Elephas maximus indicus: one gene and its partners. The protein of the gene in region 1 purifies or fractionates together with the protein of each later gene. This does not show direct contact. Links are inferred from orthologs where the notes say so. Each region holds a gene or a part of one and is shown on either strand. Other genes may lie near its edges.

Region 1 (7,815 bases):
TCTAAGCATAAAAGACAAAAGATATTTTTTAGATAATGCTATAAGAAAATACATTCATGATGTTGGGGTAACAAAGAATTTCTTAAGACACAAAAAAGCCTAACCAACAAAGAAAAATACTGATAAATTTTACTACATTCATATTAATAATTTCTATTTATAAAAACATCATAAACAGGCCATAACAGACTAAGAAAAATGGGCAAAAGATTTGAAAGGCACTTGAAGAAAGAGGAGCTCCTCCAGTGGCCAGTAATCCCAGGAAAAGGTACTCACAGCGACCTTAGTCATCAAGGAAACGCAAATTTAAAACACAAGGTACTTTTATGCATCCATCAGAAAGACTAAAATGAAGAACACTGACAATACCAAATGTTGATAAAGATATGGAGTAAAAGAAACTTAACTGCTTGCCGTGCACACTTGTGTACCAGGAGACATCTAGGCATCAACATTCACAGGAGCATTGTTCCTAATTTCTATAAACTAGACACAATCCAAATGCTCAAGAAGGCGGTGGGGGGGGGGGCATGGAATCATAAACTAGATAGTAGACAAGTGTCAACTTTGTTGAAGGGAAGGACAACATACAATATAGAGGAAGTCAGCACAACATGACCAAAGCAAAGGCACAGAAGTTTCCTAGACACATCCAAACACCTTGAGGGACCAAGTTGCTGGGGTTGGGGACCACAGTCTCAGGGGACATCTTGGCCAATTTGCAAAACATAATTCATAAAGAAAATGCCCTACATCACTTTGGTGGGTAGCATCAGGGGTCTTAAAATTTTGCGAGCAGCCATCTGAGATACATCTGTTGGTCCCATTTCGTGAAAACCAAAGACAAAGGAAAATATTAGCCCAAAGGACTAAAGGACCACATGACCCAGAGCTCCAACAGTCTGAGCCCAGAAGAACTAGACAGTGCCCGGTTACCACCACTGACCACCCTGACAGGGATCACAACTGAGAGTCCCAAACAGAATGGGAGAAAAAATTAAAATATAATTGAAATGCATAAAAAAGTCCAGAGTTACTGGTTTGACAGAACTGGAGGAACCCCCAAGACTATGGCTCCCAGATACTCTGCTCAGAACTGAAACCATTCCCAAAGCCCACTTTTCAGACAAAGATTAGATAGGCCTATAAAACAAACAATAACATACACGAGGAACGTGCTCCTTAGTTCAATCAAATATTCGAGACCAAATGGGCAACCCCTGCCCAAAAGCAAGAAGAAAAGGCAGAAAGGGACAGGAACTGAAGGGATGGACACAGGGAACCCGAGGTGGAAAAGGGGAGTGTGCTGTCACATTGTGGGATTCCAACCAATGACACAAAACAATATGTGTATAAATTTTTGAATGAGAAATGAACTTGAGCTGTAAACTTCCACCTAAAGCAAAATAAAATTAAAAAAAAAAAATTGTAACAAAAATGGAACAACCAGAATGGAAATAATGAGAATGCTCACGCATTGTGAAAAAAGTAACCAATGTCACTGAACAATCGGTGTAGAAATTGTTGAATGGGAACCTGAAACTGCTGTGTAAACCTTCACTGAAACACAACAAAATATTAAAAAAAAAAAAAAAAAAGCAGTGGCAATTACAGCATGTTAATAAAATGAAATACTTTAAAGCTATGAAAATGAATGCCACATTATTACGCACACAAAATGTTGGGTGAAAGAAGCCAATCACAAAAGAATACATTTATATATATATACAATTCAAAAAAAAATTAAACTGTTATTTAGGCATGCACGCATAAATGATAAAACAACAAAGAAAAGCAAGTAGATTATCACAAAAGTCAGGGTAGTACTGAGATCAAGAGAGGGAGAAAGCATTTCTGGGATGTTGGTAATGATGTATTTCTTCACCTCATTAATGTTTCACAGGTGTTCACTTTGTAACTGTTCATTAAACTTTACACCCACACTTTTCTGCAAGAATGTTATTTCACCATCAAAAGATGCATTCGTCATTGGCAATGGGCCAATGGCCTTCTTCTACTCCAGAAGGGTTATTTATGACTGATTTTTCCTTTTCCAAGCGTTCCTATTTTATTTATGAAAAACCTTCAAACAGGTGAATCTTAAATAGACCTCAAAGGTTCATTACATATCGCTACTGTGATATGTGTAACTCTATATTTATAGCTGTGAAAAATACCTTGAAGTTCATACGTACATCTCATTTTCTTTTTTTTAAATTGGTAATGCACCCAGCCTTCACTTAAAATACAATGCTGAACGTTCATACTGGCTCCATCTTCTCACCCCCCCGTTCGATTAACTACCTATTTTTTTTTTTTAATCTATGATGAGGAGTGGACAAGAGATAGAACAAGACCTTTGGCGTTTAGAAAAGAACTAGAAAAAACACAAACGACTTCACCATCACTCCCAACCCCTGTCACGCCCCCTTCCCCGACTCCAACCTAAAAGTTACTGCAGAAATCCTTTCGGCTAACTTTTAATTAAAGATCCAATCATCAACCGTGGGGGCTCGCCTCGAGTGGTTAGAACTGATCAGTACAAAACGAACAAAATTCTGCTTCTCCCCTTCCCCACCCCCAAAAGAAGACAGCCGATAACCACCACTAACAAGAAAATAAAAATCTTCTCAACGAGAACATGACAGGACTGTGAAACCTAAGACTCAGGCTGCAGTGCAGGAGAAAGGAGAGAGCGTCCACTTCTCCTTAATCTCCAGCAAAAGAAAGGCTCTCGCATCTCTCCGCACTGCCCGACGGGCGGCCTCAGACCTCCCAGGGTTCCCGACGGGGCTTCCCACCGCCCCGAGCGCTTTCTGCTCAGACCTAACTCAGTCCGCTCTCTGCTTCCGCGCTTTGTCTTTCAGGACCCCTGTCTTCTCTTGGTTTACCCCAAAAAAGAGACAGAGACTAATCGAATGAAATTCCTCACCGAGTTCACGGCGTCCTGAAGCTGCGTTAGCCGGTCCGCCATGTTTGTCCCTCACGCAAAGGGACGCTTAAGCAGCTGCTCGTGCGCGATTGGGCTGCTCGAGGACTCGTCGTGGCCAATCACATGGCTGCGTTCTTGGAAGGGGTGGGATCGGGAAGAATTTGCGGGACGAGGAAGAGGAGGAGGATCTGAGACTTAGCTAATGACTGTTTAGTCTGGCTGGTACTGGAGGGAGAGTCTGACTGGAAATATTTTGAGTAACTCGGAGACAGTCCAGGGTTCAATCGTTCTCGTATTAAGTACGTCGTAGGTGTTAAACACTTTACAGAGATTGTTGGATTCTGCGGTTTTTTAGTGATTTTTCCCCCATGTATTCATTTTTTAACATCACCTTGAATGCTTATTTTTATGTTGTCTTTGCTTTCCAAATGGACCACAAAGCATATACGCTGCAAGAAACTCAAGAATACTTAACCCGTTGCCGTGGAGTTGATTCTGACTCATAGCGACACTATAGGACAGAGTACAACTGCCCCATACGGTTTCCAAGGAGCGCCTGGTGGATTGGAGCTGCCAACCTTTTGGTTAGCAGCCGTAGCTCTTAACCACTACGCTACCAGTGTTTCTCAAGAATACTTGGGGGTCAATAATAATAAAACCATTGCAGTTGAGTGTACTCCGACCCATGGCAGCCCCTTGTGGTACAGAGTAGAACCGCTCCATGGGGTTTTTTTGGGAGATAGGATATGATTCTAAACTCAACAAATCCAAATTAAAATTCACTAGGCAATCAGGAAGGACTGGTTTAGGGTGCCTCCTCTCTTGCTTTTGGCCATGGAGGGGGTTACCAAAGTGGAAATTGGGTGCATGCTGTTAGGGAGCTTTAATTGTGTATAGATGTGCTTGGGAGGCTGACACAGGTGAAATGGAAAGTGTCCAAAACAATTAAGTACTGTATTTACTCTGTTAGAAGAGTGTGCGAAGGCAAGTCACTGCTGGCAAGGTGAGAAGGAGGAAGAAAGCATTTGGAGCTAAGAGGTATGGTGTGAGCACGGGGAACTAATAAGCTTTTCTTGTTTGTGTGACAGTGAATAAATGGATGAGGAGCAGGGGAGGGTTGGTGGAGAGGAGAATAGACGTTTCACAGTGTCTAGTAGGAAGGAGGAGTCCCTGGGTAGCCCAAACTGTTTGTGCTGGATGCCTAACCTAACAGCTTGAACCTCTCCAGTGGCACTGTGGACAAAAGGCCTAGCTATCTGCTTGCATAAAGATTGCAACCAAACAAACCCTATAGAACAGTTTAACAAATGGGGTCACCATAAGGCAGAATTGACTCAATGGCAATGGGTTTGAATTTTAGTTGGAAAAGCACAAGGGTCTTGTATTTATCCAAGAGTGAGCTGAGTTGGGCCTAGACTAGGATGTTGACCCTCGTAAAAGAAGAAAGAAAGGCTAAAACGTATTTTTAAAGGAAAAGTTAATATAGACTGATGACTGGTTGGATATAGGTGAATGAATGAGAGAGCCCACTAAAGGAGAATAGAAAGTTTTGCAGCCCCATTGATGAGAACTCGGGTGCCTAGGGTAGAGGAGCTACTTCAGAATAACCCATATTCTTTGAAGGCTTAGAACCATAACCTCATGGAACAACTCAGTTAATTGGTGTAACAGAGTTCACAAAAATCATGATCTGCACCCTAGTGAGGTGAGTAGCATCTGGGGACTTAAAAGCCTGCAAGTGGCCATCTAAGATATAACTGCAGTCTCTGCTCACCAGGAGCAGAATAGTAAGGCAACCAAAAGCTCAGAGAGGAAACAAGTCTACATAAGCCACAACCTCATCTAACTAGAGACCAGAAGAACTAGATGGTGCTGGGCTACCACCACTGACCTGATCAGGGTTATAATACTTGGTCCTGGATAGAATGGGAGAAAAAATGGAGCAGAACTCAAATTCTTATTAAAACAAAAAAGTCAGACCTACTAAAACAGCAGAGGGCTCCTTGAGACTATTGCCCTGAGACATTCTTTAAACCTAGAACTGAGCCTATTCTGAGATCACCTTTTAGCAAAATAGCAGAGTGGCACACAAAATACAGAGTACCAGAAATGTATAAACAGAAGACAATTAGAGCATGTTCTCTTTAGATATATTGTAGTAAATGTAACTAATGTCACTGAACAATGTGTGGAAATTATCAAATGGAAACCTAACTTGCTGCATAAACTTTGACCAAAAACTCAAAAAAAAATTATTAAAAAAAAAACTATATTATGATACAGCTTCTGTCCTGTTGTAGGACAACATGTCCTGCTCAAACACACCATAACTGTATGACAATGCTCCACATTTGTGTAGCGCTCACAGGTTGCACTCAATTTCTAGGTAGCCAGGAGGCCATTAGGAAAAGGGCACCAATAACTAATACAGATTGCTTCATAAACATTACATCCTTTCGATCAGAGCTTGAACACACACTAGCACATAAAAAGTGGCTATTATTCCTTACAAGAATCAGACAGCATACAACAGGAAAAGTTCAATCACGAACAATCACACCTCAAAAGCTGTCTGGGCAGAAATGACAACTCTTCCTTGCACACCCCACTTTGTGCCATGGATGAGGGGCTTAAATGGGACTGTACCTACTGCCAGTCTTTTGGCAGTGGACTGTAGGGTTGCTATGAGTCAGAATCGACTTTACAACAATGGGTTTTGGTGTTTTTTAAGCTTATGCTATGTGTGCTCCCCCTCACCCCACACATCTGTCAATTTGTTGTACTGTGGGGACTTGCATGTTGCTATGATGCTGGGAGCTATGCCACCAGCAGGGTCACCCATCGCGGACAGGTTTCAGCTGAACTTCCAGACTAAGACAGGAAGGAGGCCCCAGCAGTCTACTTCTGAAAAGAATTAGCCAGTGAAAGCCTTATGAATAGCAGCAGAACATTGTCTGATATAGTGCTAGAAGATGAACCCTCAGGTTGGAAGGCACTCAAAATACAAGTAGGGAACTGCCTCTTCAAAGTAGAGTCAACCTTAATGACATGGATGGAGTCAAGCTTTTGGGACCTTCATTTGCTGATGTGGCATGACTCAAAATGAGAAGAAACAGCTGCAAACATCTGTTAATAGTTGGAACCTGGAATGTATGAAGTATAATCTAGGAAATTTGAAAATCATCACAAATGAAATGGAGCACGTAAACATTGATATTATAGGCATTAGCGAACTGAAATGGACTAATATTGGACGTTTTGAATAGGACAGTCATATAGCCTACTATGCTGGGAACTTGAAGAGGAATAGCGTTGCAGTCATTATCAAAAACAACATTTCAACATCCAGGGAGCCACCATGGTGCTAAAGACAGAAGCACCATGCTGTCCCTACACAGCAAAGACCTGAAAAACTAAGTAAAACAGAGACAAACATCAATCCCAGAACCCTAAGCATCAAGTGAAGGAATAAAGAGCTGAACCATGCCCTGAATGAAATAAGAAACTGGCAGAGAACAAAGAGTGACGAGAGCTACACAGTGGAGGTCCCCTATCGCTAACGTGGCGCAAATTTGCCATCTTGGACCCCTGAACTACGAAGAATGGCAGACAGGGAGTACTGGAAGGCACGAGAAGCTCCCAGCAGGAGACAGAGCACCTGGTACCCAGCAATACATGCTTTCCCACTCCCCTCCCTTCTTCCCTCTGCTCTACCTCTGCTGCTTCCTGGCAGGCTGCAGTTGCTTGGCTGGGGAGATGCCGGCTTCTTGCTGCTTGTACTTGCCCTGCCCACACCAGCCAGCTCTTTCAGTGCCATTTTTTTGTTGCTGTTCTTGGTTTTGGGGGCTTCTTTTGCATTTTTTTCTCTCTCTCCTTTCCTTTCCTTTCTCCAGAACACATGGCTTTTGTGCCATTTCTGCTCCTTCTAAATGGGCTGTGCAACACCACTTGGACAAGGAACCCCTTCCCTGGTCCATGCCAACAAACTAGAGGGCTCCCTTGGGGCATTTTTTTTCTTTTCTTGGTTCCTTGTCTCTTTCTACCTCCCTTTTTTTCCATTCTCCTAGACATCTGGTGCCGTGTGCCATTTCTGCTCCTTCTTGATGAGCTGTTCAGTGCCTCTTGGCTAGAGATCCCCTTTCCTGGTGTGCACCACCACATCAGTGGGCTCCCTTGGGGTGTTTCTTTCTTTCTTTTTTCTCTTCTTGGTTTCTTGTCTCTCTCTACCTCCCTTACCCTTCTCCTGAACACCTGGTACTGTGTGCCATCTCTGCTCCTTCTTGATGGGCTGTGCAGTGCTGCTCAGCTGGGGACCCACTTCTGGTGGACTCCCTTGGGGCTTTTTTTTTTCTCAGTTTCTTGTCTCTCTCTACCTTCCTTCTTCTTCCTCCCAACCACCTGATGTTTTCTTTTTTTCTCTTGGTTTCTTGTCTCTCTCTATCATCATTCCTTTCCTTTCTCCTGACCACCTGGCCATGTGTGCCTTTCTCTCTCTCTTTTTTAAAATCTAGTTTCTTATCTCTCTCTCCCTTCCTTCCTTTCCTTTCTCCTGCCCACCTAGCTGTCTGTGCCATATCTGTCCCTTCTTGATGGGCTGTGCCACATTGCCTGGCTACGAAGCCAATGGCACACAGCTTCCCTGGGTCTGTGCCACTCCAACGGCAGGCTCCCTTAGCATTTTTTTTTGGCTTGTCTTTCTCCTCTTTCTCTTCTTTCCCACACCCACTTAGCTCCACACATCACATCCTCTCCCCTCTCTCCTGCCTATCTGCACCATGCACTGAGCATTACATCCCCGAGTAGCACAGGTACTGTCTCCTGAAACATGTCCTGCACCGCCCCCCACCCCTGCCCTGTCTCCCCCAGTATGTGCCACAAATGAC
Region 2 (7,146 bases), on another chromosome or scaffold:
TTCCAACAAAGATCTGGATTACTCACCTACCAGCTACTATCTGAACAGGATCCTACGTCTCTCTAACCTTTTCCTATACGCCTTTCCTCCCTTGATCAGAATGCTGCACATCACTCTGGCCATCTCCTTTCTTTCTCTGTCTCTCTCTTTTTTTTTTTTTAATCTCTGCAGAACTTTTTTTTTTTTTTACTAAGACCAATAATAAGTAGCACAAAGTGAAAACACTATCCCTTCCAAAAAAATTCACATAAAAATTATGCATAAACCCATTAAAAAAACCAAACCCATTGCCGTCGAATAAATTCTGACTCGTAGTGACCCTACAGGACAGAGTAGAACTGCCCCATAGTTTCCAAGGAGCGCCTGGCGGATTCTAACTACCGGCCTTTTGGTTTGCAGCCATAGCACTTAACCACTACGCCACCAGCGTTTCCTAAATTATGCATAAGATTAGAATAATTCTAAATAAAAACCAATAGATCCACTCCTTCCTCTCTTGAGCCACTTTCGTAGTTTTACATTTCAACTTACAGACTTAATTTCTCTCACTTTTAAGAATGATTGAGAGCCCTGGTGGCACAGTGGTTAAAGTGGTCGACTGCTAATCAAAAGGTAGGCAGTTCAAAGCCACCCTCAGCTCCGAGGGAGAAAGATGTCGCAGTCTGCTTCCGCAGAGATTTACAGTCTTGGAAACGCTATGGGGTGGCTGTAAGTCAGAATCGACTCAATAGCAGTGGGTTTAAGGATGATTACTCAAATATGATTTGTGCCAGACGGGGTAAGTCAGCACAACATTGTCAATGAAAGCTAGGCCCTTGAGAACTAGGCTGGGGGGAACCTTGCAAACTCGCTGGCCCCAACACACATCAGGGTTTGTGTTCAACTCTTTGGTCCTCACAGACTCTCTGCAGGTGAGGAAGGCCTAAACCACATGACAGCAAACAATGTTTCCGCAAACCAAAGGATAACATGTCTCTTTTCTTTGAACTGGCCAACCTCTTTCTTGTTTCAGGGTCTTCACACATATTGTCACCTCTGGCTGTAAGTCATTCGTCACTAGTCTTTGTCTGGTTAACTCCTACTTAGCCTTCAGGTCTCAGTGTAATTATTACTTCTTCAGAGAAGCCTTTCCCTGAACCCCACAGCTACTCTCCCCTCCAGCTCCCAGCTAAAATGTACTCCCATTATTAGTTCTTCCTCATAACATCATAGCCTTTTCCTTTATAACACTTCTCACAATTTGTAAGTATACAATTTATAAGTATACCTTGTGATAATTTAATTGGTGTCTCTCTATTCCACTAAACAAGAACTATGTATGGTAGGTCTACCCTGTTCAACATCATATCCTCAGGGCCTAACACAGATCTGACATATTTTACACTTGGTAGATAATTTTTGAATGAATGAATAAATTAAGACTAAAGCCAATACAAGATCAGTGAGCCTTCATAAAGTGAGAAATTCTAGATATATATTTTAATCCTCTTCATAGGCTATGCATATTCTAGAAACCTTCTGAGACAGGTGATAATATTTTGCTTTTTTAGGAGAAGCCAAGAGACAGTACAAGACAACTTTTTGATGAAAATCTGGAATGGATGTAAACAAAGAACAGAAAAGGCTTCTTGGAGTGACAAAATGAGAAGGTTGCACAGTAAGTCTCTGGCATAGCAGTAATGAGTGAGTGTACCTGAAGAGGTGGAAAAGGAGTACCAGGTTAATACAGGCATGTTTATTGTCACAGACTTCTTTCTACAGATACTCATTAGCAGCCTAGAAATCTCTGGTTTGGTTTGAAACAGTCACTGTGAGAATTTATAGTGCTTCCCAGACTTCTACCTTCCCTCTCACAGTAACTTTCTCTAAGGTAGTACCCATTACGGTTTCAAAAAACGGTTCAATTAATATGAGATAGATAAATGAATGCAGTTCTCCAAGAAGTTCTCGTACCTCTTGGAAGCATCTTCTTGTTTGGAGGCACTTGTGTGTTTGGTACCTACGATTAAAAAAAAAAAAAAAAAGTAGGTCAAGTCTGCACAAAGACATTAGGCACAGGACAGATTCCTGTCCAAATAACTCAAACCGCAGGCCATCTTTTCCACACATTTCATTTCTAATCCTGTACGTAAACCAAAATCAAATGGGAAGAGAATCCAACTTACTTTTGTAAATTAATTATTCCCTAATTTTTCTTGGTTAAAATGTTATCTCTTTTGATTTCTCATGTATCAGAGTTGCAGGAGTCCTGGTGGGACAACCGTTAAGCGCTTGGCTGTTAACCTTGACAGTTCGAACCCACCCAGCCTCTCCATGGGTGAATTTGCTTCCGTAAAGATTACAGCCAAGAATACCCTATGGAGGCAGTTCTATTTTGTCAAAAGGGGCGGAAATCGACTTGAGGGCACCCAACAACATCAGAACAGCTTACTTACGCCCTTCTGAAAATCTGAGTTTTGGAGCAACCTTTTCCTGTCTCCTTCCTGTTGGCCCTCTGGCGGGGGAAAAGGGTCGGGATTGACACCTCAGAGAATCAGGGCACCACAGCAGCCGCACTTCTGTAGCACACTGGGCCGGGGTCCGAAGTCTGCTGCGCACGGCTTGCCGTCGCTGCCCTGGGCACTTGCCCACCTCTGAGGCTGGGGTCAAACCACGACGGGAAAAATCTTGGCACACTCCTGTAAAAGGGTCGGAGTCTGCCCGGGAGATCTTGCCCAGAAGGTGCAAAGGCGAGGGTGGGGAGCTCTACGGTCTCCCCATAGGAGACCCTCTCCCCTGGGTCAGTCTTCCGGGAGCTCCCCGCGCGCCTTGGTGTGGAACTCTGCCGGAGCTCAGGTATTAGGGCCCAAACGTGGCAAAAGACCCTTGTTCCTACCTGCGGCCTTACGGGAGGCGCCGGGAGCCCGGGCCTTGCGGCCGGGAGACAGCTGCCCGGCCCAGTCAGCCATGGAAATGCGTCGTCAGAGCGGAGAGCGGGCGTCGGCGTCTCTCCCCGAGGCCCCGCCTCTCTCACGTAGGCGGGGCGGGGCCGGGGGAGTAGGCTGCGCGGCCTGCGGAGTGGAGGAGGGGACTGAGAGCGGCCGGAGGCTGGGCGGGTGAGTGGACGCGCGGGGGGAGCCCGGGTCGCTGGGCCCGCGGGTGGGTAGTGAGGGCGTAGGGCCCGGCGCCGCGGGCAGACCGGGCCCGCCAGGTGATGGGGGCCGAACGCCAAGGACAGCAGGAATCGGGAGAAATGGCTTCCCTTGGATGCCACCAGCACGCGCGCAGCGGTTTAATCCGCCCTCCAGCGCGCCGCTGTGAGGACCCCGCAGACCCGCGCCGGTAGTGCAGGGCTGGGGCCGGGCCTTCCGGCTGGGAAAAACGATGGTCGATGAGACCGGTTCTTCCGGGGACCGCCGGTGGCCTGGTCTCCAAGTAATAAAGTGATTACAGTGACCAAATTGATTATCTTGGCGACTGCAACTCTTAGAGAGCAATGTCACCGCCAACCCTTGGGCTGGAGGGCATCTGAAGTTTCACCCCATTTGAATGAGTTAAATGTGTTGCTCTCAAATTTTTGTCAGGTGGGACATTAAAAAAAAAAATTCCTAAATGATTATAACTTGGATTTCAGGCCCATCTTTTGGGAATTTTTTCAAAAAAGACAATTTCACTTTATTTAAAAAATCCTTTATAGAGTTCATATTTGCCCTATCTCTTAAGAGTGCTCTAGAGGAGTTTTTTTCCTCTTTCAAAATAATACTCCTAGAAAACTTAAAAATACAACAGAAAGAAAAGCAACATCTTTTAAAAAAATTTTTTTTTAATTTTCTTAAAGCTAACACATTAACTTTCAGTAATAACATTTTTAGCTTTGAAACGTTCCATTTTTTAAATTGTGTGTGCTAATATTATTTTTTTTTTTAATAATGCAACAGAATAGAACAGCTTCCGAATACTGCAGTGTAATGCCACTGTTAACAGTGTGTTTTGTGTTAGTACGTTTCAGCATCAAAACTAGGGGAAAAAACTAGAAATGGCTGTGGAGGAGCTTCAGTCCATAATAAAAAGATGTGTAAGTAATTTTTTCTTTTTAATTACATTTGAGGTCACTCATTGTTTATTTTCTGTAATTCTTGCTTTTATTGACCTGTGAATAAATAGCATGAGGGCTGGAAGGCAAATTGAATTATGTCTCCAAGTGACATACTTATCTAAATAATCTTAATTTTAATGCTGATCCTTTTCATAGATTTCTTTGGTAAAGTAGATTTCGAGATCATTCATTGGGAATATTTACTGGGATCATCCTGATTTTCGTGCATATACTTAATGTGCAACCCATCTGGAATTCAAACAGGTTTCTCTTTTTTCACAGAGATAAAATAAATCAAGTAGTTATTGTATTGAGTTTTTATTTCTGTATGTGTTTTTTTTTTTTTTTTTTGCCAGCAAATCCTAGAAGAACAGGACTTTAAAGAAGAAGATTTTGGCCTATTTCAGTTAGCAGGGCAAAGGTGCATAGATGAAGGGCATATAGACCAGCTATTAGAAATTATCCAGAATGAAAAGAATAAGGTAAGTACTATTTTTGTGTGTACTTTTCATTTTTACTGGGAAGAGAAAACCACATGATGATATTATCTATTTATTTATTTATTTATCAAATGTGTAAGTATCAACTAAGAGCAAAGTATAGTAGAAACTATGGAAGACAAAAAAGGAATTAGGCATATTCATATGTTTTAAGGTCCTTGCAGTCTGGTAGAAGAGGTAAATACTAAACTACTAGCAATAAAGAGGCAGAATAAATGAAATAAGTGCTATAGTAGAAGTAGAAGTAAAACTCTTCAGTAGGAACGAGGATTGCTTGTGGTCTAGAGGAACTAAGAATGGCATTTAAATCATGAATTTACGTAATACAAGTCTCACGCAGGTTAGACACCCATTTTTGGTGACCAGCAAATTATCTTGATTGAGCCAAATGTGTGTGGAAAACCAGATTTTAAGCAAAGCAATATTTTGTATACGTGCATAGAATCTGAAGGAGCCCTGGTGGCGCAGTGGTGAGGGCTTAGCTGTTAACCAACCAGCTGCTCTGCGGGAGAAAGATGTGACAGCCTGCTTCTGTAAAGATGACAGCCTTGGAAACTACGGAGTAGTTCTACTCTGTCCTATAGAGTCAGCGTGAGTCAGAATCGACTCAACAGCAACGAGTTTGATGTAGAATATCATCCAGCTGTGATAGTCTGAGAAATCATTCTTTACAGTGGAAATGGGTCTTGTTTGTGGATCAGGGACAATTGATGTAGAATATCATCCAGCTGTGATAGTCTGAGAAATCATTCTTTACAGTGGAAATGGGTCTCGTTTGTGGATCAGGGACGACTTTTTCCTGGGACACAGTGTTAGAGACACACTGCCAAATTTGTGTCTTTGTACTCCCCTTCTTATGAGTACAAGGCCCCTGAGGAGTGCAAATGGATTGTGCTTGACTCCTAACCTAAAGGTTGGCAGTTTGAACCCATCCAATGGTACCATGGAAGAAAGGCCTGGTGATTTGCTTCTGTAAAGAAATTGCAGCCAAGAAAACTCTGTAGAATAGTTCTGTTCTGTAACACGTGGGGTCACCCTGATAGGACTCAACTCAGTGACAGTGGGTTTGGGATTTTTTTGTTGTTGTTCATATGAATACAGGGAAGACCATCTTCTTCCTAGGAACATGCTCTTTCTTTCATTTATAATACTGTTTATTTATACAAAAGTTTTCTTTTTTGATACCCCAATCTAGTCGTGCTAACCTGTGATTATATCCAAGGCATCTTAATTGGATTTGGGGACCTCATAAAGCTTTGTAATCGCATATTGTTGTAGAATCTCTTATTCAGCAGTTCAGAGGGCAGCCCTTGCTTTTTTCTTTTTTAGCAAAAATAGGATATTTTATTTAATATATTTGCTTTTGATCTGTGTTTATGGCACCTTTGTAACCCCAAATAAAGTAAATTTTGTGGTTTTTACCCTTCTTGGTTTTATTTCTTGAGTATTTACTATATGTCAAATGTCTTTTTAAGTGCTTTGCATCTGTTAACCCATTAGCCTCTCCAGAATCTAAATTCGCTTTGTAGATGAGGAAACGAAATCACTGTGCAGCCTGGTTTCAGAGCTCTTAGCCACTTTGTTCTACTCCAGTTAGCAGCATGTAAGCACTTGCATGAATGTTTTGAGTAGAATAGAGGGGACTGATTGATTGTGAGGGTGAGAGAGGGTAAGGTGTCAAAGACAGCTGAGGTTCTCCCCTCTGAGAGAATAATACATGATACTCTGAACAGAAAAAGGCAACTCAAGGAGAACATTTTCTGAAAGAAGATAAAGTGATCTCACTTTTGGAAATGTTGAATTTAAAATGCAGCAGGAGCTTGGAAAGTAAGGTTTGGAGCTCAGTAGAGAAATAAGAGATTTAGATGTAGTAGATTTGCGAGTAACTATTAGAGATTAGTGGTTGGTGTGCATATTTGATTAATAGTTGTTACACACCAACCACTAAGGCCAAAGACGAAGAAATTGAAGATTTTTACCAACTTCTGCGGTCTGAAATTAATCAAACATGCAATCAGGATGCACTGTAATTACTGGTGACTAAAAGAAAGTTGTAAACAAAGAAGGATCAGTAGTTGGGAAATATGGCCTTGGTGATAGAAATGATGCCAGAGATCGCATGATGGAATTTTGCAAGACCAATGACTTCATTGCAAATACCTTTTTTCACTGACATACATAAATAGCACCTATACGCATGGACCTCGCCAGGTGGAATACACAGGAATCAAATGGGCTACATCTGTGGAAAGAGACGATGGAAAAGCTAAATATCATCAGTCAGAACATGGCCAAGGGCCAACTGTGGAACAGACTATCAGTTGCTCATCATGCAAGTTCAAGCTGAAACTGAAGAAACTTAGAACAAGTCGACAAAAGCCAAAGTATGACCTTGAATATATCACCCCTGAAATTAGAGACCATCTCAAGAATAGATTTGATGTGTTGAACACTAATGACCAAAGACCAGACAAGTTGTGGAATGATGTCATGGACATCATACATGAAGAAAGCAAGTGGTCATTAAAAAGACAGGAGAGAAAGAAAAGACCTAAATGGATGTCAGAAGGA
Region 3 (7,050 bases), on another chromosome or scaffold:
TCATTTTTCCAGACACATTCACAAAACTGTTTAACCAGAACAAGCATTTTTCCTCTATTACTGAAACAGATTTATCAAGAGGGAAGTTATAAGTCTCCCTCCTTCCTTTACGTACAACGCCCTTTCTGTGATGTCAGTGGCCCCATAAACTTTTAATAGAGAGTTTTAGATTCCCGGAAAGATAAGTTTTTGAAATGTGGTCAGTTTGTGTTTAGGTAAAAAAAGCAGAGAAGGAGGTGGGCTGCAGCTGGCAAACTCTCAAAGTAAACTAGGTAGCAGGTGATCTAAAGAAGAAAAAACAAAAACAAAAACCGGCAAGTCCCTGGGCAAATTGTGTAGCCAAGGGTAATCATTATAACTGAAGAGTAGTTACATAATTACTTGTGAACTCCTGACAAACACACACACGGCTACAAAACGCCATGGTTACCCTAACCATTGAAGCTAGTGATATCTGGTGCAAAAGTCAAGGTTTCTCCAATTAATTTCATTCAAAGAAATAAGGAATCCTGGGACCTAGTCCCTTCCAAGGTAACCCGCCTGCTCTTACATATACAAAACAGGCTCCAGCCTCTAGGGACGAAAATCAGTGTTTCTCTTCAATATTGATTTTTTTTTTTTTTTTAAGGGAAGAGGAGATACAAAAGTACGTTCAGAGAGCTAAATATTTATCACCTCGATAAAAGCGACTTCCATTCCAAACTGGGAATTCTGAGGCAGGAAAACCCCCTCCCCCAGCCCCTCCTCCCCCACTTTCCTGCTCAGCTGGCGCAAAACGCAAGACCTCGGGGTCGGATGAACTGCATTCCAACATTTTTCAAAAAGTTTACGAGGATTTACCGAAGCAGCGGGGGGGAAAATAAGCAGGCAGAAGCGAGAGAGCGAACAGGAGGGTTCCGGCCAGGAAAAACCCCGAGAAGCGCCCAGCAGAGCCGTGCGAGGCCCGGTAGCGGGGGAGCGACCCGGCCCCGGGAGACAGAGCGCCCCAGTGGAACCAGCGGGCTGACTGGCGCACGGTCTCCGCCGCCGGGGTCCCCCAGCCCCCCAGCCCGGCCTCCGCCACCAGCCCCCTCCCCGTGCCCTCCCCCGTAGCCCCGGCGATGCCCGCTGAGCCCACTTGGCCCCGGGTCAGCGCTGCGGAGCGCGGCCCTGGGTGCCGGCGAGGCCGCCGGCGTCCTCACCTCCTTCTGCTTGGGGTCCTGCGGGTAGACGTCGGGCGGCCCGAGCCGGGGGCGCTTCAGCGGTCTCTGCTCATAGCTGAGAAGCCCGAAGGCGGCCATGATCTCTCATGTTAACCGGCGAAATGAATGAGAGTTGGAGCTGGAGCAGCCGCCTCTGAGCACCAGGGAGCAGCACTTTGCAGACAGGCTCCCTGGCTCCCCCTCCTCGCCCGCTCGCTCGCTCGCTCGCTGGCTGTGGCGCTGCGGGCAGGAATAAAGCAGGTTGGATGCAGCCGCTGCCCGACACGCAGACGCGCACTGATGGGGGCAGCCTCGGCGGGCACCGGCGGCGCTCAGCTCCGGGGCGCACGGCTCCGGCGGCCGCAGGACTGGAGGTCGGCCCGGAGCTGCGCGGCGCCCGCCTCCCGCCCCCCCACCCTGTCCCCAGGGGGAGGAGCAGCTGATGGGAACGTGTGACTTTTTTCACCAATGGACCCGAACCCACCCTAGCCGGGCGCCGGGCTGGAGTGGGGGAGGGGCACGGGAGGAAAAAAAAAACTTTTCTGGACGCCGAGGCGGGTGGTCAAGTGCTCGCCCGAGGCGAGAGTGACTCTCCCCTCCCGGGAGGAGGCTGCGGCCCGCCCCCGCCCCTCTCCCTCCGCAGGGACCCTTCCCCCGCCGCAGACCCCCGCCTCCTGGGCGCCGACCCGGCCGGTGCGGGGAAAGAAGACCTGGAGTGGGTGGGGGAGAGAGGGATGCGGGCGGCGGGGACGCGGCCGGTGCCTCCTGGACGCCCGCCGGGCTCCGCTGGCGCATCCGCGGCTCGGGTGCCCCTCGGCAGCTCCGGGCAGGCGCCGAGGCGCGCTGCTGGCGGTCGCGGCGGCAGCGACGGCTGGAGGGGGCCGTGCTCACGGTGGCGCGGGGCCGACTTAACCCTTTGCTGCCCCTCCAGGGGCTGGAGGGCTGGGGAGGGGCGGCTGTAAGCGCGGGCGGGGGCGGCCGGCCCGCGGGCGTCTCGGGCTCCTCCAGCCCGCGCCCTCCCCCGGCCGCAGCGCCCCCCAACAGTTCACCTCCCTCCCCCCGGCCAACAGTTTACCTGTTGGTCACCAGCTAGCGGGCAGGGCCGGCCGCGGGGGCGCTCCGGCAGCCGCAGCCTCCAGGATTCGGGCTGGGGTTGGGGATGTGGATTGGATTGGCTCCGTCAGGGCTCCGTCTCGTCGGGGCGAGCTCCGGGGACGCGGCGAAGTTTGCCCGTGTTTGGGGGCGGCGGGCGACGCCGGCTCGCCGCCGCCGGCGTTCTGGCCCCCAAGGCCCGGGAGCGCGAGCTTCCTAGTTGGCGGACGGCGGCGCGGCGGCCGCACTGAGCATGCCCAGGTGGGCGGCCGGACCGCGGAGGAGTTGGCTGCGAGCGCGGGGAGCGCGCTCCGATCCGCCTCTCCGGGTTTTCGCAGCCGCAGAGCGCGCAGCCCGCGGGCCCCGGAGCCGGCCCTGGGGCGAACCTGGGCGGGGGAAGGGAGCCCCTAGCACCCCCTTCCCGGCCGCGGTCTGCGCCCTCGGCCGCGACCTCTCTAAAGGTCGCCGTCCCTGTGGCCTGGGCCGGAAACCTCACCTGCGCCGCGCGCCTGGAGGGAGGGACGGCTGATCCTCCAGGGAAGACCTTGGTCATCCAACCCGCCCGCGCTCCCCGCTCACTTCCAGGCGTGGGCACCGAGATGCTGGGCCACCTGCCGTGGGCGCGGCGGGGGCGGGCCCGGCCTGTCCCGGGGGACCCTGCGGGAGACGCGCCCCGGAGGATGCGCCCGCACTTGGTCCAGAAGAATGATGGCTGCCATTTATGGAGCCCTCGCTCGGGGCCGTGATCTTCACAGTCAGGGTCTCTGATCCTTACAACAACCTTACAAGGTTTTACTGTACCTTTTCCGTAGAGGGAGAAATTGAGTCAGCTCGGGGAGGTCAAGTGACTTGCTCAAAGTTCCCTCCTCTGTAAAAATGGTGCAGGCATAATCTAACTGAGGCCTTTGTACAGAGCTCAGCTCATAGTTGGTGCTCTGGAAATGTTGGTTGAATCTGAATATCTGACTTTTAGCAAAGAGGAAGGAAAAGTGGGGTAAGTGAAGAGACAGCGATGTGGTGACAGCTAGTTCCTCCTGACCCATGACACTTCCCAACCCGCACCTGAAGCCTTTGTAGTTTCTGAGTTCCTAACAATCTGATCAAGGGTTTCCAGAGGCAGGATTATCCTCTGCCAAGAGCTGTTCCCTGACCTCTTCCCCACCCTGCCCCAGGGGCTTCTGCTCCACTAATACCATCTCTCTTTCTAGCTCTCTTCAGACAATCAACAGTTTATTATGTAACTTTATTAGGAAAAATCATACCAAAGAGTCGAAGGAGGAGTATAATGGACCCCCAAGTACACATCACCCAGCTGCAACAATTATCAAAGCTTTGCTATTCTTATTTCATCTGTCTCCTCCATCTCCAACACATTGATATACAGTAGTAAGGACAGTTTTATTCTTTGTTGCAACTCAAGCACACAGCATGGAACCTGCCACGTGATGGGCGCTCAAAAAAAAAAAAATGTTGGTTGGTGGGATAAATGATGGATGGGTGGGTGAATGGATGGTTGATTCTTTCACTAATGGTATTTTGGTGACACCCTGGGCTGCAACTCAAACACCCCTAGCCTGTAGGGAGATGGAAGCTGAATTCTTCCTTAAGATTTCTAGGCAAGAGCCTCCACCAGGCTGCACAAATGAAACACTTTGGACTCCCTTAAAACCTTATCTACCTGTAAGAATTTATTTTAAAATCAAAATGTCAGTAGTGTGTCCCTGGTATTTGGAAAGAAGGACAGGGATAGCTGTCTCCCTCTTAGTCTCCATTCTTAGCTCTGTCCCTTGTCTTAAGATAGTTTGACATGGATTCTGTGGCCCTCTCAGCATAAAGAGCGAGAGCTCTTTATCATTCCCAGGGACCATCTTCAGTCTCAAAATAGAAGGCTTCATGGGGCTCCCAAAGCGAAATTAGCACTCGTGTTATAAAATGCTCAGACTCAGGCTTCAGGCACACCTGTGCATAAATTTACCCCGCATCCTGGAGAGGTTTCCAAATATCTGGCTACTGACTCACTTGCTCTAACTTGGAGCTCTGGCGACATAGTGGTTAAGAGCTTGGCTGCTAACCAAAAGGTCGGCAGTTGAAATCCACCAGCCGCTGCTTGGAAACCTTACGGGCAGTTCTACTGTGTCATATAGGGTCGCTATGAGTCTGAACCGACTCAAGGGCACCTAACAACGACTCACTTGCCCTTTGCATCTCTGGCCATGTCACAGGCCCCATTCAAATATGCTGTTTGAGAACCTAAGTCTTAGTTACAGCAAGTTTTTCCAGGGTCCTCTTCCCCTTCTTGGTCTTAATCCACCAACACATCTACACCTGTTTATTTTTTAAGAACGCATAAAGCCTGTGCTTACTATGGTACACAGCCTCATCCCCAAAAGAACTGAGAAATCGGCAGGAAATGCACACAATACAATGAGATAAGTGAATAAATGGTTGGAATACTTGCATTTAAAGTCCTCTTCTTCCCCAGGCACCGTCACCTGCTACCGTCTCACCTTCTAAGACCCTGGTGGCTCTGGCACCCTTGCCACACCCACAGGCTCTGTAGCCATGAGCCAGAAGCCGAGAAGAAAGTGTTTGCACTAGAAGAGTCTTCTGCTTAATGCCCTGACACATGTGGCATTAAAACAGAAGAGGGAAAGTGGGTTTCTGTCAAAGAAACAGGCGGGTGGATCAAGCTATCTATTGAAAGTCCCCCTCACAGTTGACTCTGTGTTCACCAGAAGCTTTGAAGGAAAAGGTCTTGGAAGCTTTGCCCCTCGTCCTGCCAAGCCAGTCTTGATCTCGTGACTTGAAGAGGGATTTATGGGTCAGGACATCTTGTAACCCAGTACCCCTTTTATCATCCTGTCTGCTGTGGTGGTGTCTCATTCAGGGATAGGAGGCCTAAGGCACCATCTGACAGATTCTGAGTCCATGCCATTATCCTAAGTCATTTGTGTCACAGCAATCATGAAGGCTATTTTTGAAGGTGCCTTATTCACTGAACCCCCTTATTTCCCAAGAGATTCTGTGGGCATCAGTCCCAGCAGCTATAGGGACAAGGTAGAGACATGCAGGAGGTAGTGGTATCCTCAGAGCCAGCTCTAATATAAGCTGAGACATTTCCTCCAAAATCATTCTTTCACTACATGGATTTCCCATGGGCATTTGGCTCCCGCACCCGGGCATTTGAGGTCATCACAATCCATCCCCACCTACTAGTCCAGCTTTTTCTCCTTCACCCTTAGCCCAGTTCACCCTCCCTCCTATCCTGTTAGTTCTCGCTTGTAGTACCAAATATGGGATTCCCGGGTGCTCCATTTTCAAATATCTACCTTGTGATAGTCCTCAGAATCTTGACCCCTCTTTGAAACTACCCCAAGCTCCCCAGGCCCAAGGTGATTTTTCAGTCCTTTCAGTACTCTAAGCACTTAATTTTCTTTCTCATCTCTTAACACCTCATCATTCATTGACAAACATTTAAATGTGTCACACAAGGATAGTCTTGGTTTCCCATCCCCACCTCACCCTCTTACTCCTCTCTCTTTTCAGTCCATAATTAGTCTTTAAGCTAATTTAGGCCAGCTTAACATGGTGGACTTAACATGAAGACCACCGTGTTCTATGCTGTGCTTGATTTTCCCATCATGGTGCTGGTTAGTCCAGCAGATAGGCACAAAACCTTGCTGAATAAAAGGGAGTCCCATTTGCTACTGTTCTATAAGAAGCATCATGTTTCTACCTTGGCTAAAGACCCACTGGGCCGGGAGAAGTCTACGTGGAACAGGAATTACTCAAGGAAGGCCAGAGGATCCCCAGAGAGGAGGTCTCAGGCTGGTCCACAGCCTAGCGAGAAGAGAGGAGTTCAGGGAACTGAGAAAGTTTCTTATAACTGGCAAGGGAAAAGGATCGAAATGTAGCTAAAGAATGAAGTATAAACCGTGATTAAGCGTTATTCTCCAAGTATGAAGCTGACCCTCCAGGGCTGCTTTGTATGTTGACAGGTGTTTAAAAGCTGGCCCCTTTTCTTGAGTCACATCCGAGGGCTCCACAAAGACACCTCAGCACCAAACCCTCCCCAGTTGCTATATCTCCCTCCACAGGCCGGTTTTCAGCATTCTGTAAGGAGACGCTCACAGTTGGGTCCCATCGTGTGCTGGTATTCATTTGCTCTTTATATTTAATCTGCAGGAAATAGACAGGTAACCTTTGCCTACACATGCTTTAATGCAAGGCATTCCCTGACCAACCTTCTCTCCTTGCCCATCGTGAAAGCATCCTGCAAGCCACCGTTCTTCACTTTGAAAGTTCTCCAGTCTGGATCAGAGACCAATCCCTTGGGTTCACCCAAATAAACACAGAGGATAAACATCAAGCTCCCGGGTCAGTGGGCCTCTCAAAGCTTAACTTATGTAGCTTAAGGCAAGGGAGAAAATTCCTTTGGCAAAAGGCAGAGACACGATCAGATTTGCAGAGCAGAGAATGCCTAGGAGTAGAGGCAGGGCAGATACATGTCAGGGGTTATAGTCCTATTGTACCCATTTTACAGATTTTCAAATGAGGCTCAGAGGGGAAGTAACCAGCCCAAAACCATTGAGTTAACAAGTAGCAAAGCTAGGATCAAACCTAGATCCCTCAGACTCCAAGCCTGCTCTCGTTATTGCTGTCCTTGCTGTCCGTGCGGTACGTGTGTTAATTATACTTTACATAAATCATGCAAAGACGAGCCTCAGAAGACAGGTCTGGTATAAGAGAAACAAAACTTCTGACAGCTTACTCCTGC
Region 4 (7,984 bases), on another chromosome or scaffold:
AAGAAAAGTTCATCATACAAACAAAATCATTAAAGTTGCTAAAAACATGCCCAAAGGACTGCGAATGAAAAATTAATTTTTCCAAAACACAAGCTACTTTCTGGCTATCAGAAATGACAAAGAAATGTTTATACACTATACATTGAGCTATGTTTAAATTGTGTACCCAGTGAAAACCCAGTGCCGTCAAGTCAATTCCGACTCATGGCAACCCTATAGGACAGAGTAGGACTGCCCATAGAGTTTCCAAGGAGCGCCTGGTGGATTCGAACTGCCAACCCTTTGGTTAGCAGCCGTAGCACTTAACCACTACACCACCAGGGTTTCCATTGTGTAATTCTCCTCAAATTATTAAAACCTAAATTAAACTCTGATCATGAGATATAAAATGTGCTTAAAAGTACCTCAATACTAGTTTTTCAATAAAATATAAAATCAAAGTTAATACAAATATGCATATTTATTACCATAAATTGGTAATTTATGAAAACAAAACTGGCTTCTTTCAGAGAGCTTAAAAATAATTAAAGGTCATCAGAATTTTATCAAGCAGATGACAGACTGGTCAAATGTACTACAATGCCTAATCTCATGGGATTAGGGATTTTATGAATATGCTTAAAATTACATAATACTGGGGGATGAAGAGATGGTTTAAAGCTTTTGAAAAATATTATATGGGAAGCATAATTTAAAAATATATGTCATTACAGAGTAGTACCTTACTGAGAAATCTAATTAGACAACAAGACACAGCAGTATCTCCAGAAGCTGATTTCTCAAATGTCACCAGACCATCCATTCCCCTAAAAAGTACTTTTAAATACATGTGGCACCTGGAGTATCAAGTTTTCAAATTCCTACCTTTAACAGAGATAGCTGTACTGCTTTACTGCTGCATAAAGGCACTGAAATACACATTTCAAATTAATTAGTATTACCATTTTCTTCCTAGGGTCCGTCTTAAATTATTTTAGAAAGGTAACTAAGTAAATCTTAAAAAAAAAAAAAAGCTGAACATACATTTCCTTTCTAATATTCAGAATACTAAAGTATGTACAAATATGGCCTTTTCCCCCTATCCAAGGTAACTTATTTCAGCTTTATGAATGGTTACTCTTTTTTTTCTTTTTTGGTGCTAAATAGTTCTGAACATACCCTACTAATTTGAAATAAAAAAAAGCAATTATTTTAAATGGTAAATAGCAGCTAACCAAACTAACAGTAAAGCTACTTTTGCTTCTAATAAAATCCAAAGCTTTGATTTTATCTTCCCGTAAATTTCTATCATGTTAAAGGCAACAGAAACGACATCCATTTTTGCAAAAGGAAAGCAAAGAGTTAATCCAGTATATTTTCTCCCCAACCTAAATACTGTCTTCTCTTTTGTCAATATTACAAGACATTCATCTACTGACAAAGGAAAAATGAACACTTCACTTGCCCGTTTTAAAACTAAATAGAAACATTACCAGTCATAGATTTAATTACTTCTAGAGAAGAATGTCTAAAGCAAAGGGACTGCTTAAAGTTCAATGCCAGCTGCTAAATTTTGGGCGAACAGCCTTAACACCATACCCCCTATTTGTCACTTGCCTTTCCCCACCACCCACCCTGCACCAAACCCCCATTGTTCCGTGTACAAACTCAGTTAATGATACCCAAAGAGGGATTCCTACATTCATGGAGCACATGATCACTATGAGGAGCTCCTGACAGCCACATTCACTTGCTGCCTTTTCTGCCCTCAATAAAATCTAAATGTGGTAATAAATCCATTATGAAACCGATGAGGGAAAGGACCACTGCGTTCCTTCCAGAGTGACGGATGTCACTCTAGAGGCGGGTGAGGAAATCCTCAGAAGGTTATCATAATAAACCGACCCCCCCCCCCAAAAATCATTTCAACTGACGTTTCATAACGAATACTAAAAAAAAAAAAAAAAACCCGCACTGATGCCCCTGAAAAGTACACAGCCCACGGACGACGGCTGTTCTTCCCGGTCAGCCCCTGCCACCCAGAGGAGCACGCAGGGTCTCTGGCGGCCGCAGATCCCTCGCACAGCACTTCCTCCCGACCTGGCTGGAGCAGACGACGCGGGGTCGAGGAAGTGGGAGCCGGCACCGGCGGCCGCCCTCGCGCTCCTCGCCTCGGCCTGGGGCGACACGCACACACACTCACCCGTCTTTCCTCTTGGCTTTGTAGACGTGACCATAAGTGCCTCGGCCAACTTTGCAGCCCTCGTATTCAAACAGGTCCTCGACCCGCTCCCGCTCGCTGCTCAGCTTCACTTTAAAGTCATAGTCCATTGTCACAGCCTCGGAGGCCGGGGAGCGGGGCCGGGGGGCCGGGTGGCAGCGGTGGGGAACGGGGAGGCACGGGCAGCCGCAGCCCCCGGGAGCCCACCCGCTCTACACCTGGCAGCGGCAGCACCGGCCCGACGGATGCCGCAGGAGCAGCAGGAGGCCCCGCGACAGCCCCGGGGACATCCAGGGGGACAGCGGGGCAAGGTGGGGACGGGGAGGCCTCCCCGCCGGAGGAGAGCGGAGGGACGAGGCTGGGGGAGGGGTGGGGAGCGGTGTCGCTGCCCTCGTCCCCGCGGCTCCCCGGGCGCCGGTCTCCCTCTTCTCCGGCTGCGGAGGGAGCGCGGGGCTGCCGCGGCGGGCGCTCCTCTCCTCCTGGCACACACGCACTCACTCTTCGCACCCGCTCGCACACGCACACGCACACTCACTCACTCACTCACTCTCCATACACTCACACAGAAAAGCGGCGGCCGTACAACAGCCGGTACCTCCTCAGAGAGAAGAGGAGGGAGGGGACTTGCGGAACACGGCCCGGTTGTCGCAAAAACGTCGCGAAGGCTCAGGCTGCCTCGAGCCCTCCCACCACCCGCTCCAGCTGCGGCCCGCCGCCCCTCCCGGCGCCCGACGCCCGGTGACAGGGGGAGAGAGCGAGGGAGCAACTGGCCGGAGCGGCGGCCAAGCACAGCACGTGGGCCGTCCTGAGCGCTGGCCTGAGCCCCAGACTACAATGCCCAGAACGCACGGCGCCACCGTCACCGCCCCTTCCAGGACCCCGCCCCACGCAGGGGCAATGTGAGGGCGTGGTGAATGATGGGATCGGTAGTTCGTGGTGAGAGAAGTTTTAATTCATGTTGTTGGGTGCTGTCCAGTGGTTCCCGAGTCCTAGCGACCGCATGTGACAGGGTAGAATTGTCCCATAGGGTTTTCTAGACTGTAATCTTTATGGAAGCAGATCGCCAGATCTTTCTCCCGCAGAACAGCTGTGTGGGTTTGAACCACCAAACTTTGAGTTAGTAGCCAAGCACTTAAACAGTGCACCACCAGGGCTCCTTTTCAGTTATTTAGGGAACGCTTTTTATTATGTTTTATTATTTTTTACGGCGCACTTTTTATTTTTTAAATATCCTTAGAGTCTAATTTGGGCTATAAACTTGGCCAAGGAAGTTCACGTGTCAGGGAGGCTAGTTTGTATTAGAATCACATTTTGTGCTACTTGACGGTCACTCTCCCGTAAGGTCTGCACAGTACTATTCGCATAAGTGACACATGTTACAGACTTCGAGGAAAGTCAATCAGTGAGGAGTGTGATGCGACACCCAAATACTGTTACTCTTGCGGTAGTTGCCCATGCGAATGGTTCCGGTCTATTCAGAAGGAAGGTTACGTTGAGTATGGCCTTCGTGTAGAACCACCGATGTTTTAGCCATAAGATTACAGTCATGGAGCTAAATCAATGGAAACTAATTTGTTGATAATGTTTAGGTAGAAAAGGTGTCTCCTGGAGGAGCCCTAATATCTTGACAATAATCCCTCAAATTGCCTTATCCCTCTCATTTGCACATTCTTTTTTTGTTTGTTTGCTTCCATTTGTTACCATTTCCACTAATGCTCACCACTGTCCAAACGATATGATCACTCCCACTTTTAAACCCCCATAACACTTTATTTTTTCCACCTGTCCTGTGGTACTCATCAAATTCTGTTTTGTCTTGTATTCCCTCTCCCTTGCTAGATTATAAATTCTTGTAGAGGGTCATATTTTTCTCTTCCATAACACCTAGCATCATACCTTGACTATGGTGCACTGTAAACATTTGTTGACTTAATGAGTGAATGAACATGTTTATGTCAAAAATATCTGTGTACAGATGATGATGATGCAATTTTGTGAAAATCCTCAAAGGAACCCTTGTCTTATATAAATTTCCTCAGAGGAAATCATGACCTCACCATTGGTTTAAGTTGTTTTTACTTTAGCCATTAAACATAATTTAGTGTTTAAGTACCCTGACTCAGGTTAGATGACTCTGAGTTTGAATCCTGCTTGCCATTGATTAGCAGTGTATCCTTGGACTAACTCTGAGCCTCAGTTTGTGTCTTTGCAAAATGGAGATATAAAAGGCCCAACTTAGAATAAATGCACAGCAAATGTAAGCTTCCGTTAATGAGATATTACATGCATTTGATCGGTAATGTAATTTGGGTGACTCTCTAGCAGGACTGTGCCTTTGCATGGAGAATTAATTCTTTTCCCTAAGTATGAATTTAGACTAGACTCTTCCTGAAAATTTATTTTGTGTTTTTTGAGGGATGTGTCTTTTTGTCCAAGTATTCACTCATAGATTTTGAGAAACCAACCCACCACATTGGAGGAAAGGTGGTGCAGAGGCATGGCAGTGGGCTTGGCCCCATACTTGGGTGCCCCACCCCCATCCCACCACCTACACATGATATTCCTGAGCACTGAAGATCCCAGACTTTTAAAATGTACTTTTGAGTACTATTTTGTACCTATCCATCCTGTGGATGAAGGTAAGAATTCTCCCTGAAGTAACTGAGTGTTCTGATTATCAGTTCTCTGAGACAGGAACGGAAGCTGGCCTTGCACTAGGGAAGAGAACCAACCGATTGCTGTGGAGTCGATTCTGACTCATGGTGACCCCATGTGTGTTAGAGTTGAACTGTGTTCCATAGGGCTTTCAGTGGCTGATTTTTCAGAAGTAGATTGCTAGGCCTTTGGTTTCTGAGGCACCTGAGGTTGGACTCAAACGGCCAACCTTTCAGTTAGAAGCCAAGTGCGCTAACCATTCACATCACCCAGGGAAAAGAGAAGGGCCCGCTATTCTCTCTGAAGCTAGGGTGAGAGTTAGGAGTCTGGACTTCAGGGTGGGAGAATATGGTGACATGAGGTAAGCCGGCCCCTTAAGGCAGCATCAGGATGCGGAGCTAAGGAAGATTGCCACTAGGGGGCCCCTTACAGGGGAGCAGGGCCAATGTGTTAGAAGTGGTAACAGCTCATATTGGTTTTTTTTTTTTTTTTTCTTCATGGTAATTCCCTTCTGTTATACCCAAGCTATCAGCCTGGTCTTTGCTGTGGGGCTTGTGTCTGTACTTGGAGGAGAAGGGGCAGCAACAGCCTGCAGAGCCAAAGCAATGAGCCAGGAAGGACTAATGGAATGTGTAAGCATTCCAGATACTGGAAGAGTGGAATCTGGTTTTAGCATGCACTTCCTGTAGTTCAAGGGATGGAAGTTCAGACTTTATTGTTATTTGAATGAATTGAACATATCAGGAACATGGAGCTGTGATTTCAGTTTGATTTCCTAACTCTGATCATACTGAGTTCACATGTCCATTTGCTCCATGATGACCTCCACTGATGTTGTAGAATCTATGGCTTCGTTGGCCTACACTCCAAACAATGGCCTAATAATTTTCGTGCTTCTTTTCTTAAAATATGATTTTATTTACATTCCAAATTGAACATCTCCAGTGTTATCATGCCTCCCAAGCACCAGCCCCACAGTTCAGTTGCCTCCCATACAGCCTAAGGGGAAATTCTGCTGTCATCTCAAACTTAAAATTTCTGCAAGTGAACATACTATACTATTCCCTGAATCTCTCAGTTCCTGTGATTAGCAGTACCAGTAGACAGTCATTCTGCTGTTTGCCAAACCCATGAGCCCAGGCCTTCATTACCTAACATTGTCCTTAATATTCAAGCCAGATATGCCTTTGTCTGTCCTATTCTCCAAGGTTGGAATGCCCTTCCTCATATCGTCTCAGACCTTTGCAGTCCACCAGGGAACAGCTCAAATGCTTAACTTTTATCATGAAGACTTTCCTGATCCCTGCAACTAGATGTGATCTTTCTTTCCCATGAACCGCTCCCCCAGTTCCAGCCCCATCACACTTTATTTGTAACTTATCTAGAAGCATCACAATTATCTTATACTTCAGTTATTTATTTTATGCACTTAAAAAAAATCTTTCAACTCAGTCAATTGATGTAATATAGTTCACAAAGTTCATGTTCTTTATCCTAGTGAAGTGAGTAGCATCTGGGGTCTTAAAAGCTTGCAAGCGGCCATCTAAGATACAACTATTGGTCTCTACTCATCCAGAGCAAAAGGGAAAGAGGGAAATAGAGACTCAGAGAAGAAATAAGACTACAAGGCTAATAGTCAACATGAGCCGTGGCCTCACCTACCCTGAGACCAGAAGATCTAGATGGTGCCCAGCTACCACCACTGACCATTCTGACCAGGGTCACAAAATAATTATCTCTTACAGTGCCCAGCACATATCTTGCATAATTATAATTAATAAGAAGGTGTTTAATTTAATTGATTTCTCTAAAGGTTGAAATGAATCTTAAGATTAATAATAAATGGTGTAGGCAGTCATTTTAAAACATTTAACATCTTACCTCAGTCTTGCCTCTCAAGGTAAACCTTCTGCAGCATGCAAAAGAGCTTGCTGCTCAGTGATTAGATGAAAAAAGAAAAAAAAACAGACTTACTGCTTTATGATATATTAATGTAAAAGGGCATTCTTGACAACACACAATACAGGAGAGGTTAGCACAACTGCAAAGCAGTTAGCACAAAAGCAAAGAAATTTCCTGAGTAAACTGAATGCTTTGAAGGTCAGCATAGCAGTGGCGGGGGTTTGGGGACCACGGTTTCAGAGGACACCTAAGCCAATTGGGATAATAAAATCTATTAAGAAAACATTCTGCATCTCACTTTGGAGAGTGGCATCTGGGGTCTTAAATGCTAGCAAGTGGCCATCTAAGATGCATCAACTGGTCTCAACCCACTTGGAGCAAAGGAGAAAGAAGAACACCAAAATACAAGGTAATTGTGAGCCCAAGAGACAGAAAGGGCCACATAAACCAGAGACTACATCAGCCTGAGACCAGAAGAACTAGATGGTGCCCAGCTACAACCAATGACTGCCCTGACAGGGAACACAACAGAGAACCCCTGAGGGAGCAGGAGAGCAGCAGGATGCAGACCTCAAATTTTTGTAAAAAGACTATACTTAACGCTCTGACTGAGACTAGAAGGACCCCAGAGGTCATGGTCCCCAGACCTTCTGTTAGCCCAAGACAGAGACCATTCCCAAAGCCAACTCTTCAGACAGGGATTGGACTGGACTGTGGGATGGAAAATGATACTAGTGGGCAGCGAGCATCTTGGATCAAGTAGACATATTGAGACTATTTGGGCAGCTCCTGTCTGGATGGGAGATGAGAGGGCAGAGGGGGTCAGAAGCTGACCAAATGGACACGAAAATAGAGAGTGGAAAGAGTGTGCTGTCTCATTAGGGGGAGAGCAACTAGGAGTATATATCAAGGTGTATATAAATTTTTGTATGAGAGACTGACTTGATTTGTAAACTTTCACTTTAAGCACACTAAAAATTAAAAAAAAGGGGGGGGAGGGGCCTCTACAACTTTTAATTCACTTCTCTTGCTCTGTATCCAAAGCGTACTTTAAATGGAAAGCATCTAACTTCCCATTCTGCAGGTGGAATTTTCATGAGAAAGCATATAGTAAGAATCTACATTTGAGCAGTGTTAGATACAAAAAAAAGTAAATTAGATTAATCAAAGCCCTCTAGCATTTTTTTAATTTTTCAAAGACAACATCAAAAAATTTCTCAACCATTT

What was found.
Region 2: the proteins of MED21 (region 1) and RPAP2 purify together in Homo sapiens (affinity purification with mass spectrometry; 3 studies listed by BioGRID and IntAct, with this or other methods). This does not show direct contact. The link is inferred for Elephas maximus indicus from reciprocal best matches to the Homo sapiens genes MED21 and RPAP2.
Region 3: the proteins of MED21 (region 1) and MED12L purify together in Homo sapiens (affinity purification with mass spectrometry; 3 studies listed by BioGRID and IntAct, counting the BioPlex papers as one, with this or other methods). This does not show direct contact. The link is inferred for Elephas maximus indicus from reciprocal best matches to the Homo sapiens genes MED21 and MED12L.
Region 4: the proteins of MED21 (region 1) and CDK8 purify together in Homo sapiens (affinity purification with mass spectrometry; 14 studies listed by BioGRID and IntAct, counting the BioPlex papers as one, with this or other methods). This does not show direct contact. The link is inferred for Elephas maximus indicus from reciprocal best matches to the Homo sapiens genes MED21 and CDK8.

Annotation. Positions count from the first base shown.
Region 1 is NC_064822.1:85,864,405-85,872,219, reverse strand, and holds the start of MED21 (mediator of RNA polymerase II transcription subunit 21), read right to left. Parts: upstream 3,008-7,815; 5' UTR 2,975-3,007; coding exon 2,933-2,974; intron 1-2,932. UniProt on the Homo sapiens protein: Component of the Mediator complex, a coactivator involved in the regulated transcription of nearly all RNA polymerase II-dependent genes.
Region 2 is NC_064821.1:149,946,507-149,953,652, forward strand, and holds the start of RPAP2 (putative RNA polymerase II subunit B1 CTD phosphatase RPAP2), read right to left. Parts: upstream 3,009-7,146; 5' UTR 2,949-3,008; coding exon 2,876-2,948; intron 2,000-2,875; coding exon 1,954-1,999; intron 1-1,953. Other genes in the region: GLMN (glomulin), read left to right, coding at 4,016-4,054, 4,432-4,557.
Region 3 is NC_064841.1:8,863,674-8,870,723, forward strand, and holds the start of MED12L (mediator of RNA polymerase II transcription subunit 12-like protein), read right to left. Parts: upstream 3,008-7,050; 5' UTR 2,257-3,007; intron 1,422-2,256; 5' UTR 1,281-1,421; coding exon 1,182-1,280; intron 1-1,181. UniProt on the Homo sapiens protein: May be a component of the Mediator complex, a coactivator involved in the regulated transcription of nearly all RNA polymerase II-dependent genes.
Region 4 is NC_064841.1:58,013,633-58,021,616, reverse strand, and holds the start of CDK8 (cyclin-dependent kinase 8), read right to left. Parts: upstream 3,001-7,984; 5' UTR 2,311-3,000; coding exon 2,183-2,310; intron 1-2,182.